Linked DNA regions of Elephas maximus indicus. The protein of the gene in region 1 interacts with the protein of each later gene in a pairwise test. Links are inferred from orthologs where the notes say so. Each region holds a gene or a part of one and is shown on either strand. Other genes may lie near its edges.

Evidence for each region.
Region 2: the proteins of EML1 (region 1) and ISG20L2 interact in binary tests that used the Homo sapiens proteins (3 or more experiments, as listed by UniProt). The two-hybrid records come from large-scale screens. The link is inferred for Elephas maximus indicus from reciprocal best matches to the Homo sapiens genes EML1 and ISG20L2.

Annotation. Positions count from the first base shown.
Region 1 is NC_064828.1:113,576,134-113,583,805, reverse strand, and holds the start of EML1 (echinoderm microtubule-associated protein-like 1), read left to right. Parts: upstream 1-4,666; 5' UTR 4,667-4,783; coding exon 4,784-4,850; intron 4,851-7,672. UniProt on the Homo sapiens protein: Modulates the assembly and organization of the microtubule cytoskeleton, and probably plays a role in regulating the orientation of the mitotic spindle and the orientation of the plane of cell division.
Region 2 is NC_064821.1:194,473,910-194,480,880, forward strand, and holds the start of ISG20L2 (interferon-stimulated 20 kDa exonuclease-like 2), read right to left. Parts: upstream 3,013-6,971; 5' UTR 2,923-3,012; intron 2,309-2,922; 5' UTR 2,165-2,308; coding exon 1,445-2,164; intron 1-1,444. Other genes in the region: METTL25B (methyltransferase-like protein 25B), read left to right, coding at 3,608-3,718, 5,718-5,842, 6,004-6,196, 6,714-6,776. UniProt on the Homo sapiens protein: 3'-> 5'-exoribonuclease involved in ribosome biogenesis in the processing of the 12S pre-rRNA. Displays a strong specificity for a 3'-end containing a free hydroxyl group.

The sequences.
Region 1 (7,672 bases):
AATAAGGAGATTAAATTGACCTACCAAACAAGGATCAAGCAGGGACATTGAGGGGAGAGAGGGGGCGATTTGGGATAAAAATAAACAATCTTTTTAATGATTTGAGTCCTTCTGCTTCGAAATGAGCTAAGCAATCATTTATCAGGGACATTGTGGAAAAGATCACTGCATTGGCAGGCAAGTTGGAGACCATGTTTAATGTTCTTTATTGATGCTAAGAACCTGTGATTATCTCTCATTTTATAGAGAATAATCTGAAATTCTCCCTCTGTCTGTTTCCTAGCACTTTCACCATTTGCCTTCATTCGTTCATTTCTATGATTATTTGTCTCACACCTAGTGCTTCTCAGACTTTGACTGTGGCCTACAGGGAGAAATACATTCCACATCTCAATGTGGCACACTCATAAAGACCCAGGTTTCCAGTAAAAATACTTGTTCTTACGATGTTTAACTCACTGTAATTATCTTTTCTTCCACTTCATTTTAAAGTGCCGATTGTGACCCTTGAAACTGATTTTACCCACCACCAATGAACCATCCTGGGTAGCACAAATGATTGAGCACTGGGCTACTAACTGAAAGGTTGGTGGTTCAAACTGACCCAGAAGTGCCACAGAAGAAAGGCCTGGCAACCTGCTTCCGTAAGGTCACAGCCATGAAAACCCTATGGAGTGCAGTTCTATTCTGAAACACATGGGGTCGCCATGAGTTGGAATCCCCTTGATGGCCACAGTTTTTTATGTTTTAAATGAGCCATCACCTGCAGTCTGGAAATCACTGCGTTCTGTGGGCTGGATTCCCAGCCTCCAGCCCAGGGCCTGGCACTCTGGAGCTATTTTTGGAGAATTGTTGAATTAAACAACAGATGCATGAGGCCTCACGTTTCTGGTTAGTTTTTATTACTTCTCTTTGAATAAAGGCTACAGAGCTCCTTTTTTCCTTCTGTTTTTCTATGTTGTACAAACGCTACTATTAATGCCACTGAAGGCTGTGGTTACAACGTCCTAAAGAGGGCACATCAGTTATTACAATGACAACAGTTTTTTGGACCCAGGCCATAAGTAATCTAAAAATGGCATGAGATAACAGCCTGTTAAGATGTTTGGGCAGCGAAAGCACACATTATTCATTAAGTTTTCAGAGATTTTTCTTGAGCTTTCTCCATAGATATTTTTTAATGCTGTGTTGATTGTATCTAATTGACTTCAGGTGCCCATCCTTGTAATGATGCTAAATTTTGCTTTTTTTTTTTCCCTCGGGGTAAGATTTTTACCCTTGTGGAAAAAACATAGTGGTTTCATACTCTAGGTTAAGGGTATAAAAATGATCTTTATCATTTCAAAAGCAAATAGACTGAGTTCTGAATTGTGTTTTTGTCATTTGTCTCCAGTAGAAGTAACAAGTCTCCTAAGAAAATCTCCAGCCCAGTTTTACAGCCAAACTTTTAGACATATTTCTCCTCTCCCATTTTGGAATCTTCTTTATTCCCTAACCTTTCTTAGTTGGGGCCACCAAATATCATATCTTTAACATTACAAATTAGGAATATTAACGTTCTTAAAGAGAACCTTCTTTTCACAATTTGTTTATGATTATCACATCCTTTCCAAGTTCAAGGATGCCGCACATCAGTTTTTTACACCAATTGGCCAACAGATCCTAAATTATGAAGCTGCAAAGCGGAATAGAGAAAGCACGAAGACCGGAATTGTTAGTTGCCACTGAGTCTGCTCCAACTCATGGTGACCCCACGTAGAATAGAACAAAATGTTACCCGGTCCTGGGCCATCTTCATTTTTGTTGATATGCTGGAGTCCGTTGTTGTGGCCACTGTCTATTTTGAGTACCTTCCAGCTAAGGGGGCTCATCTTCCAGCGCTGTATCAAACAGTTATTGTCTATTGTGATCCACAGAGTTTTCACTGGGTAATTTTTGGAAGTAGATTGCCAGGCCCTTCTTCCTAGTCAGTTTTAGTCTGGAAGCTCTGCTGCAACCTGTCCACCATAGGTGACCCTGCTGGTATCTGAAATACCGATGGCATGGCTTCTAACATCATAGCAACATGCAAGCCACCACAGTATGACAGACTGACAGATGGGTAATGGAAAGATTGGAATAAAGGGGGTAAAGAGGGAGAGATAGGAAAACAGAGAAAGGCAGAGAAAATTGTCCACCTGGGTTTGGGTGTGTTAAGTCCCACCCTTGATGGTCCCTTGTCCATAGCACCTGGCTCTCAACTTGGAGATGCAAAGATGCACCTGTACTGGGCAGGGGAGCTCTTTACCTGACCCTCCTGCCACCTCTGCCCTGTCTTTGGCCCCATTTCCTTTTCCTGCCAAATGGACCCTCCCTTTGATGTCCAGCAACCCAGCTTCCAACTCACCGCCTTGCCAAGAGGCCAAGGTCACTTGGGAGCCCTCTGCCACCACGTGGAAGGGCCTTTCTCAGCCTTGTCCACCTCAGCCACTTCTGCAGAGGATCTCGTGATTTCTCCCACTGCCTTGAAGCGCTCGTGCCCTTGGCTTCTGAGATACCTTCTGCAGATTTCTCTGCCTCTGTGGCTGCTCCTTCAGAATTCTCTCTCCAAGGCTCTGCCCCGCTCCTCTGTCTTTCCATTGTCTTCTTTTGAGAGTTCAGGTACCACCTCTTTACTGACAGCTTCCACAGCTCTCCAGTTGCTACAGGGCGTTTCTAACTGGATGCTTTGCACCCAGCCACATGGTCCTAAGGACAGTTTTCCTCTTACTGTCCGAGCCCCAGTGCCTTGTTTCTGGAGCATTGCAGACAGACCTAGTCTGCTCCAGACCCTGGCCCCTGCAGGCCAGGTCACACCCAGATTCAGCTCCGGCGTGAAAGCTCCAGTGTGAAAACCTCTGTGGGTCCCTCCATCTCCTGCCAGGTCTGGTTCAGACTCCTTGCAGGCTGTCCGGGCCTCTCGTACCCAGCCCTTGTCTCAGCCCATCCCTAGTTCTTGTCTGCAATGTGATCCGCCAACTCACATCAGGCTGGCTCTCTTGGCCTGTCCAGAGGCCCTGTTCCTCCTTTCTTCCACTGATCACTAACAGTGTCCTTCCTGCTGTCCTGCTCCAAGCCAACAGCACCTGTGGCCCTTCGGCCTCCACCCACAATGTTCTCCTTCCCTTCTTCTTCCCACGAACAATCCCTCTTTCTGTGCTCAGTGTCCCTGCCTAGGACAGGAATCGGGTCTTAGACCTCTCCCCTCTGCCCACAGCATCTAACTGCAGTCCTTGCTAACCCATACACTAAAGATGCCACAGGAAAAGTGACAGAGTCCTGGGCCCTGACCTGCCATCCACTGATGTCAAAGCTGTCCTAGGAAGACAGGCTTCCATCTCCTCTGTACCCCAGGGAGGCCCACGAATTTCCCTCAGAGTAACTTTTTATTCAGTTCTTCTTTCACCCACTTGTGTTCAACCTATACAAGCTCATACCAATTTGAAACCTTTCGGACTTTTACATGTAATTGAATCATGGCTATCGTGCAACAACGAACACAGATGTTATGCAGCCGTCTTCTTGACGGAGCCTGTGCCTGGGTTAGATCACCCTATTCATATAAAAAAAAATATTATATATGTTTATGTACGTTGCTTCCTCACCTGTTACCGCCATCTTTACTTCAGAGCGTGGGTAGGGAAGCTCAAATGATGGATCTAGTATTTGTATGTGTGGGTGTGTTTCTCTTCCTCTCCTATTTGTCCTAACTCTTTGCCTCTTTCTGGGATAGAACAAACAGATTTCCTGAGGTCATGCAGGGATCAAGTGAACAAGCCTGCAGTGCGACAAAGTTGCGTCCGAGGGGCTGGTCTTCCGGGGAAAGAAGAGCGTGTATGTTTTAACTTGGAGGGCTTCCACCGTGCTTTTAACCGCGGCAGTTTCCAGCCCCATATTAGGGTGGCCTCTTTGGAAGTAGGAAGCAGCATCTTTTTGGGCGTGTAAGCAATAGTTGACGCGAGTTACAAACCCGGAGGCAAGGCCCTGCTGCAGCGGAAAAACAAGTGGAAAGAGGGGCGCGCCTCGGGGGACGCGGCCAAAAGTGGAGCTGCTCGGAGGTGGAAAGAGCTGAAAAGGCTCCCCAGCTGCCCATGTTTGGTTCTGGAGCTGCCGGCGGGCCGGGTCTGGCTCCGGGGAGGGGTCACCCCAGGCCGTCCCCAGGGCCAGGGAGGACTTCCCCGCCCGGCCCATGCTGCTGGCGGCCGGGGGTCACCGCCGAGGCCCCCGCCCCGCCCTGCCGACGGGCTGCGCCCCCTGGGCGAGGACCTGGCGCCCCTCCGCGTGGCTGCGGCTCTCCCGGCCTCTCCCTTTGTCCCCGCGCCCGCCCCCGGCCCTCGCTCGGCGGAGGAAGGCGGCCGGGGGGACCGAGGGGGGCGCTGCGGCCGAGGCTCCCCAGCACCTCGCCCTCCCCTCAGGGCGCAGAGGGCGGCCGAGGGGGCGGAGAGGGAGGCCGGCCCCGGGGGGGCGGAGAGGGAGGCCGGCCCCGGCCCCGCCCCGCCACGTCCCGCCTCCCGCTCGGCCCTTCCGCCGCCGCGGCGCCCCCTGGCGGGTGGCCCGGCGCTCGGTGCGCGGCCCGGGGAGCGCGCGGCGGCGGCGGCGGCGGCGGCGGCGGCGGCGGGCCCGGGGTTGCCATGGTGACCGGCAGCAGCCGCCGCCACAGCAGGGCCGGCCCCAGCGCCAGCGCCGGCCGCGGCCCGGGCTCAGTGTGTGGGTGAGCGGCGGCGGCGCGGCCGGGGAGCGGAGCGGGCTGGCCGGCGGCCTCAGCATGGAGGACGGCTTCTCGAGCTACAGCAGCCTCTATGACACGTCCTCGCTGCTGCAGTTCTGCAACGGTGAGGGCGCCGCGCCGGAGGCCGCGGGCGGGCGGGCGGGCGGCGGGGCCGGGCCGGCGCGAGGGCCGAGGCTCGGCGCCGCGGGCGAGGCCGCGCGAAGTTGCTGCTGAGGGGCGCGCGGTTCCCGCCGCCGGCGGCGCATTGTGCTGGGGCCGCGGGGCCGCGCCTCACCCCGGCCGGAGCGCAGCGCGGGGCCCGGGCGGACCCCGGGGGGACCCCGGGCAGACCCCGCTCCCCTCCGGGCTGACCCCGGGCGCACCCCGGACGGACCCCGCTCCCCTCCGGGCTGACCCCGCTCCCCTCCGGGCGGACCCCGGGCGCACCCCGGGCGCACCCCGCGCCCCTCCGGGCGGACCCCGGGCGCACCCCGCTCCCCTCCGAGCGCACCCCGCTCCCCTCCGAGCGCACCCCGCTCCCCTCCGGGCGCACCCCGCTCCCCTCCGGGCGCACCCCGCTCCTCTCCGGGCGGACCCCGCGGACCCCGGGCGCGCGGCGGGAGCCCAGGGCGGCGCACAGGCTCGGCAGCTTCGGGGTCCCCGGAACGTGTTGCGTTTTTGCTCGCAAACTCGCATCTGTTTGGGAATGACTGGCCAGAAAACTCGGGACACGAATCAATAACAAAACACTGCTGCGAGGATGCACGCAGGGTTTGTTGCACAGGGACCCCCGGAAGCCAGTCTGTTCTACTTTAATGAAATTAGCCCAGTTAAATGCAACCTAGAGCTTTTAGAACGGAAAGGTAAAGTGGACCGGGCTGAAAAGTGTTCCGTCTTATTTTTTTTTTTTACGGGATGATAGATTTTTCTGCCTTTTTTTTTTTTTTTTTAACAGGAAGGAAACATTCATAAATACTGATATGGCATATTCTCAAAAATATAAAGTCCTACATACTTGAAAGATTTTAGGGTCCCTAGCCGGGTTGGAAAAGATTTTCACAGAACACTGCATATTTTATCAGAGCAAGATGTCAGATAATTCATGTAGGAAAGTTAAGCACACATTTTATATCTTGGATTTATTGCTTCATCAAAGGGCCCCAAAAGTTTGTTAAAGGTAAAAAAAAAAAAAAAGTAATTTATAGAATTTGCCTGAGCTGCAGTCAAGAGTAATTTTGAATTCTAGACACTTCGGCAATTGGAGCAATTTATTTTGCATTGGGATTTAGGAGCAAGTGTTATTCAAAACTGTTTGCAAATAGGAGGTATTAGCTGTAACCGTAGGGAGTAAAGAATGTGTTGATCCATCTTGTCTCTATAGTGATCTTTTTATCTCTGTGAAATCTGTCTTTTTCATGGCAGAGTTCCTATATACTGTGGTAACTTGCAGCTTGTAAATTTCTGATGAACAACGTGTGGGCCTTCATTAACTTAGTAATGACTCCTTCCGGGGAATGAAAGAAACTTTTTCACTCTCTCCAAATTTAACTGCAGTTTCTGAAAGCAGAGCTCCTGAGAGTTGGAGCCCCAGAAGGTGTGAAAGGTAGGCGGAGGATATTTGACACTCTGCTGTTCACTGGTACGCCTTATAATACAGAGTCATGGGAGCTGCTTCCCTCTCCCTTAGTTTGAATAGATTCCCTCAGTTAAATTTTGAATAGTTCCCATAACTGACTTATAATCAATCATGTTTCAATTGCTACTGTTGATCTAAAAGTTAGGCACAGCCTCCTATTTCAGTTCATGATAAAATTCTCCCTAAGTTAGTTGTGAAAGCGATATAGCTGAAAAATTATATTAAGTGACTCCCAGGCATAAAGGGTTTTTTTAAGAAAATGAATACATGGGCATTAATTGACAGTTTGGCTAAGGATATGAAAATGAGTGTAGATATTTTTATTTGAAGAGTTGTTTTGGAGCCTGGTCATAGAAAAATCACTCCAGAATCAAACAGTAAGATCACTTAAAAACACAAGTAAATTGTAACTGTTGAGTTACTTTTCTCCCAAAGCTCTTAGCTCGGTGCTTATTATTTTTGGGTTGCCTTCTGAATGAAGTTTAAAGCGAGAATAGCCTATGGGGCAGAAATGAATGTTAACTGATGATGTCTTAGGTAACAGATGTTTTGATGTGAAATTATTCATTTTAAGAGGCTTCCATTAAGTGAAAGTATAAATGAATACAATTCAGTTAATTACTATGATGATTCAATTAAAGCATTAGGTCACAGAATCACCATCTCACCAAGAACTAAATTAACCATTTGGATATTTCATTAGCTACGTTGCTTTTTTTTAGTTAGAGATTTACATTACAATGGCAAGACGACATCAGCATGAAATATGAACTCAGGCATTTTCCTGTGATGTGCAAGCTCTGTGGTTTTGATAGTGCTAGGAATGAAAAAAGTCATAATTATATATGAGTTTCAGAAAATAACAATCCATGCTTACCATTTGGATGGCTATTACTGTTTTGTTTTGTTTTTTTATTACTGTTACATTCCATCTGTTGAGATAAAGATATGAGATGGTATAATACATGAGAAGAGAGAAAGAGAAAACTTCGTTCCAATGAATGAAATTTATGTCTTCCTTTTAGACTTTCTTTCTTGCTATCCCTCTGACTTAATTTATAGTGAACACTAAGTGTAAACTGAGGTAGGATCTAGTCTCCTGAGAAGGCTGTCCATTTTCATGTAACTAGAAAGTGGCTGCCTTGGTTAACGAGAAAATTTGTGTGGCGTTTTTTTCTTCCAAGTATTTAAAACTCTGTACACTGAACTAGATGAGGGCAGTGGTGGTTCTGTGGTAAAATTCTCACCTCCCGTGTGGAGACCCAGGTTCGATTCCTGGCCAGTGCACCTCATGCACGGCCACCACCCAT
Region 2 (6,971 bases), on another chromosome or scaffold:
GCCAGGAGCCTTGGTCACACTGGTTTGGAAGCAAGTAACATCTTAATATTTCACAAACTTTAAACATAAGGATATACTACCTGTAGGGACAATCAAAGAATATGCCGTGAGGTTCCACACAGGTTGTGAACAAGAGCAACAGTCCTGGAGTAAGTGCTTGGCCTCCCAATGGGACCCCTCTGAAAGGGCCAGGCTCATCTGAATGTAGCTTCGTCTCACAACCCCAACTTGGGGATTGTGGAAGTGCTTTATAATAAAAACTGGATGTAGTTCAACCAGTTAGTTAATGGGTTGCTAATGACTTCACCTACAGTTCACTACCACCCTCTTTTAACCTCAACACATGCCAGACCAAATCTACTGCCATCAGGGCTCCCCTCAACACACAATCCTCGAGAAAGGTGAGCGGGTTTGTTGTCTCCGACCCACCCTGTTTTCTGCCCCTCCTGAGCCTTTGCTCAAGCCGTGCCCCCTGTGCACAAGATGTTCTTCGGCTTTTCATTCCAAGTCCTTTCTAAAAACCAGCCGCTTCACCTCTGATGAACCTTCCCTAACTGACTATTCTGGTATATAAAGAATTATCAGAAGAAAGCGTGTCTAGAGATGGCAAAGAAAATGGAGTTGAATTAGCAAAGAAGTGGACCAAGGGCGCCCTCTGGAGGCCTTCTATCGTCAGCAGGCTCCCCTTTCTCCCCCATCCTCTTCCTCTTCCTTTCCTGTTAATTTGTGATGCTCCCAGCATCCGGCACAGGCCTTTTTTCTTTTTTATGTGTCTTTCATCTCCTTCAATGCAGGCCAATTGGCGCAGCTATACAAATATGCCCCAGTTCCTTCTGTTAACTTTCTACCTTCACCTGCCACCAACACTTCCCTCAGGCTAGGAAGCCCTCTCCATCTCTCCACTCTCAACCCTAGACTCATCTCTCCACTCTCAACCCTAGACTCCAGCTACCAGGCAGTCCCAAATTCAGCCCTTTCACTGGGCACTCATGTCTGCTGCTCTGTCCAGTTTTGTCACTAGCTGTTATTTCTCTGTGCAGATTCCCAGTTGCCCAGATCAGGATTCCATTTGGGACCTAAAGTAGGTGGCTAATGAAATCTATTCTGATAATCAGTCAATGAAAACCCTACGCATCACAACAATCATGGGGATGGCACAGGATTGGGGAGTGTTTCATTCTGTTGTGCATGGAACTGCTGAGTCCGGGGCCAGCTCAACAGGCAGCTAACAACAACAACAAATGAAGTCTGTTACACCGGCTAACTATAACCTTCCTGTCTTTCATCACTCCTCACCCTAACAGGAAACCTTCTTTACCATCCAATACCTCTCTCCCACCTTCTACAATCCTTTGGTGCCTTCCCCAGTGATATCTTTTGCTGAAAAATGATTGGGACCCCTCCCCCCCATCTTACGGACAGCCACATGCCCCAGGCCCCTCACCTGGCTCCGAGCAATCTTGAAGGGTGTAGCATTCACCATGTGCTGCTTCCGGATCCCACTCCATCTGGTCCGGTAGTCCACAATGCGGCAGGGGGGAAGGATGTACTCATCATAAAGCACGTCACCATTGTAGTTGACAATGCTACATCGAGCCAAGGAACTGACATGTCCCTTGGGCCCTGTGCCCACCATCTCACAGTCAACTGCCACCATCTTCCTTGGCATCTCCTGGACTACTCCGGAGCAGTTATTCTCTGAGTGAGCTTGAGTGGAATTCTGTGAGGCAGTCTTCTGGGGATGCTTTTTCTGGGAGCAGGTTAGGTGGGTCTTAATCTTTGGAAGGGCACTCTGGAACTCCCCCAGCAAATCTACTTTAGCTGCAGTAGAATGACCCTTCTGTGAAGGGGCAGGGGTCAACCAAGGCACTGTAGCTTTTTTGTCCAGGGACTGCTCTGATCCACTGCTGGAGGCAGCTGTCTTTTTCTTTTTTGGGAGGGGAGGGACCCTCCAAGTGCCACCTACCTTAGCAGTCTCCTCTTTCTTTGGGGGGTCTGAGTGCAACCTAGCCACCCTGCTAGGGGGCTGCTTTTTCTTATTCAGAAAACCTTTCTGTTCCAAGAACCGCCGCTTCTTGACAAAATTTTGATGCTTGGAATTCCCCTCTAAAGCCTTTTTGGGAGGAGGTTCCCCAAAATCCAGATTGAGGAGTAAGGTAGACATGAGGACAGTGGATGCTAGGAGAGCAGCTTACAGATGAAAGGAGAACAGAGGACTCATTCTCTGCTGAATTCCATAGACCGGCATCTGGAGGTTTGTAGTACAGCCTGGGGAATAAAGTGAATCCTGGTAATCGAGCCCGCAGACCTAGAAGAAATGAGATATGACAGATCTCTGCAGGACTCAAGGGAGGAAAGTTATACATCAGGGCAACCTCTGAGATAGAGGAGGAATAGCACTGCAATGTGAAACGATGGAAGGAGCATTGATCTGAGTCAGGAAGCCTGGAATCTAGCAAAACCCCACATTCACTAACCATAGGGTCTTAGGAAAGTCATTCCCCCTCTTTTGGTCTTGGTCTTATTGCAAACTGAGGGGGCTGGAGGGCCCATCATAACTCAAATTCTCTGTGAATGTGGAAAACCAGAATAGAAGAGCTTTATAAAGCTTCGCCCAGGTAGGGAACGTCCAAGTATCCTCGAAAGTAGGGAGCAGCATGGCATAGATGACCTCTAGATTACCCAAGTACCCCAGGGCAGGCCCCATGAATAGAGATACAAATCTAGGCACCCCTTTTCCTCGGCTCCAGGTGGGGGAAAATCCACATGCACCTCACCCAAGTCTTTTCTTTTCCCAAGAAAGGACCCTTCACGCTATATACTAGCAGGGGCGGGGGGAATTAGGTTCGGGGGAGCCCACCCCGGCGAGCACACTTTGACAGTCCCCCGCCACGGAGATCGGCCCAGCGCCCACATACCTACCTCCCAGATGGTCTTCCCTAAGACCGGAAGCGTCCGGAGCCGGATGCGGAAGTCGGCGCGCGTCGACGAGGCCCGGGACGGCAGGCGCGCGGGTTGGAACGGGCTGGGGCCCGGCGCCCGCGCGCCCGCAGCGCCCCCACCTCCGGAAGCGAAGCCAGGGATTCGGAGTGTGTGAGGATCGGCAGCGGCGGCGGCGGCGGGGGCGGTGTGGGTGGAGGCGGGGGCGGGATGCGCTCCCCAGCCCCTCTAGCCCCGTGGAGGTACAACTCGAAGGTGTAAGGAAGCCCCGACGAACAAGAACTGGCGTGCTGAGGGTCCCGGGCCTTACTTCCTGGAGAGGAGGAGCGTGTATGGGAAGGGGCGGGATCTGGAACTTGGCCCGCCCCTTCGTAGGCGTGGCTCCGCAACACGCCTCTGTGTCGTCATTACGCTGTCGCCCCCGCCCACCTGTCTCCGACGCTGATACCTTCGCGCTTTGAGACGTCACGACCTGTGACGTTAGGGGGCACCTCGTATCTTCAGCCCCAGAATGGGATCTGAGAAAGGCAACGTCGGGCGCCTGACCCAAAACCTTTGCGTCCCGTCCCGCCCGCAGAGCTGAGCCGAGCCTGGGCCCTGTACTGGCGTGGTAGTGACCGTGGATCTCTCACCGCCTTCTCGCATCCCGCTCCGACTGGACCCCAGGATGCCGGGCGTTTCCGCTCGGGACCTCTCTCTGGAGGAGAGGAGGCAGCTAGCTGTGAAACTCACCCGTGTCCTGGCGCTCTACCGTTCCATCCTGGATGCCTACATCATCGTGAGGCCATGGGGGTGTGGGCGGAGTGCTCCTGGGGCAGGTGTTGGTCGGGTGTGGTTGGCTAGGTGTCCACGACAGAGAGAGACTCTAGAGAGTTGGTCTCCGATCTCGTTTCTTCTATGAGTTTCAATTTTTTGTCTGTACACGAAAGGGTTAAAACTGGGGTGACCCCTTTTTCAGCTGACATGAGTATCCCTAATACCTAGGTTTTTCAAACCTTCCCAAATCCAAGGTAATAAAACGCATGAACATAGGAGCTGTGTGGCAGTCACGTTGACCTCACATTCATCCGCGCTTTGAATAAATTGTTTTTGTGGTATAGTGGACAGTTTCTGGCTTTGGAATTAGACTAGACTAGAATCCTGCCTCCACTACTGTTTTAGCCTTAGGCATTTTTGTTTTTATTCCTAACCCCGATTTCCTCGTGGCCTAGTGGTTGCTACGGCAGCTAACCAAGAGGCCAGCAGTTCGAATCCACCAGGTGCTCCTCGGAAACTCTATGGGGCAGTCCCACTCTGTCCTACAGGGTCACTATGAGTCGGAATTGACTCGGCGGCAGTGGGTTTGGATTTTTTTTTTCTGGTTTCCTCAGCTCTAAAATGGACCTCTGTCTGAGGGATCACTATGAAGAATAAATGAGATAATGTGTAACAATTGTTACACACCCCAAACCCAGAAGTCATCCTTGATTCAGCTCTTTCACTGATCCACAATCCGACCCTTCAGCAGGTCCTGTTGACTTAACCCCCAGAGCAGATATCAAGTTCATCCACTTTTCTCCATCTCCATTGCTACCACCCTGGGACAAACCACCATCATTTCTCCCCTGGACTCCAACAATAGCTTCCTAACTGCTCTGTGTTTACTTCTGCCCCTCCATAACCAATTCACAGAGCAGACAGATGGATCTCTTTAAAAATGTAGCTGTAAAGCCTGACATGATCTAGCCCCTGCTGCCTCTTCATCCCCATCGTATTTCATCGTCTCCCACGTTCACCGTGCTTCATGCACACTGGCCTGATTTTTCTTCCAGGGTATGGCAGCCATCTGGGCCTTTGCACTTACTTCTCTGCCTAGGATGCTTTTACTCCAGACTGAAGCGAAGAGCAAGGATGTTGGAGTCAAACTGGTTTCAAATCTTAGCTCTGTTACTTACTTTTTTATTTAGGGAAGCTACTTAATTGCTGTGCCTCAGTTTCCTGACCTGTAAAATGGGGGATAATAATAGTACCTACCTTATATGGTTTTGAGGATGAAATGTATTAATACATGTAGAACGTTTAGAACAGTGGCTGACATATTAAAGTATTACATAAGTGTTTGCTAACACCTGCATTTTCTTTACATGGCTGATTCCTGTTCATTCACGTGTCTTCCCTCATCACCCTATCTAGTCCTCTCGCACCTTCTCCGTTACGTTACTATTTCATTAGCATTTAATATGATCTGAAACTTTTTTTTTATGTAAACTCAACAAGAGCAGTAATCTTGTCTGTTTCATTGTTGTATCCCCTGAGCCTAGAACAGTGCCTGGTGCATAATCAAAGCTCCAGAATTTGTTGAACAAACGAATGAATAAACGTACACAAGGATCTGGCATATATAATAGGTTACTAAGTGATAGTGCGTGCACTGTGTGTTAGTTACTGCAGTTAGCGCTGGGGACACAGATGTGGATAGAAGACACCATTCTTGCCTTTAAGAAATTCAGTTGAGTGGAGAAAATAGACATATAAGTAGGGGAACCTCCTAAATGGAGAGGTGTATTCAGAATGCAATCTCAGCACCGAGGAAGGATAGGTCAGCTACTGAGAGAAACAGTGGTATGGCTGGAGCAAGAGGTGAGTTGGATGAGTAGAGGTACTTGCTGGTTGTAGCCAGTGGCCCTGTGTAGCAGCAGTGCTGGGAAGTGGCAGGAGATAAGGTGGGGAATTATAAGTGGGGAGGGAAAACTAGAAGTGGTAGTAGTCTGCTGATTGCTTCTCCCCTTCTCCTGCAGGAATTTTTCACAGACAACCTGTGGAGCACACTCCCTTGCTCATGGCAGGAAGCACTGGATAGATTGAACCCCCCACAGCTGGCCACACTGTTGCTGGGGCTGCCTGGGGAAGGAGAGGTGGTCAGGTATGGACAAGAGGGGCCCTGTCCTGGGTGACTTTGGCACTGAGCCCTGCGGCTAACCATTGTTCAGAGTCTCACAAGGGCTTCCTTGGCCCCCTGGGTTGTAAACTGCTACACTGAGGCTGTGACAGGACTTCATTGGTGGCCTGGCTGGGCTATCTCAGGTACAGGTCGGTGTGGCCACTCACCCTGTTGGCCCTGAAGTCCACAGCCTATGCCCTGGCTTTTACTCGGACACCTGGGTTCCAGACCCCTTCGGAGTTCCTGGAGAACCCCAGCCAGAGCTCCCGACTGACGCCTCTGTTCCGGAAACATGTCAGGCCCAAGAAGCAGCATGAGATCCGGAGGCTGGGAGAGGTGAGATGGCTGGGGACACAGGTGGTGTCTGGGAGCCCTGGGACTCGTTAAGCCCATAGGGTACAAATATGTTGCCCCTTCCCTCACATATAGGACCAAAGGCCCTACAAGGCCCCTGCCTTGGGGCAGACATACTATAATCATATCTTGATGTTGGTATTTTTTTTCAACCTCTTACTGGGTTGACTGGTGGCTTTATCTGGATCACTGTCTTACTCCTCTTCTCAACATTTCCACAACCTGCTCATGGAGGGTTCACAGCAGGGCGCTTCTTCCTTGGTCTGTGCGGGAGGTTGAATCCCTGGCCCAAGGGGAGCAAGGAGAGTGGCCTGAACCTGGTGTCAGCATCCACCCTCCCCTCACCCCCCATTTTGGTTTCTGTATCTCTTGCCTCTTCCTTGGATCCCTCTGAACCCATCTTCCTCTGTCATCTTCAGCTCCTCCACCCTCATTATGGGTGTTTGCCCTAGGAGTCAAGGAACAATGGCCAAAAGACCTTTGCTCCCTCTTTTTTCAGCTGGTGAAGAAGCTGAGTGACCTCACAGGCTGTACCCAGGTTGTGGACGTGGGCTCAGGCCAGGTGAGCCAGAAGCCTAACATACTGTTCTGAGTCACGGAGATAGAAAAGTGGGAAGGCAGGATACCAGGCCACAGGTCTAGGGAGTCAGGTGCTAAGGAGGAGTGGAGAATTTAAGGAGGGCAGAATTTAAACCTTCTGTGGGGCCTGGGACCCGGGTGTGCAGGTCACTGATAGGGAAGGTGACAGGAGAGGTCG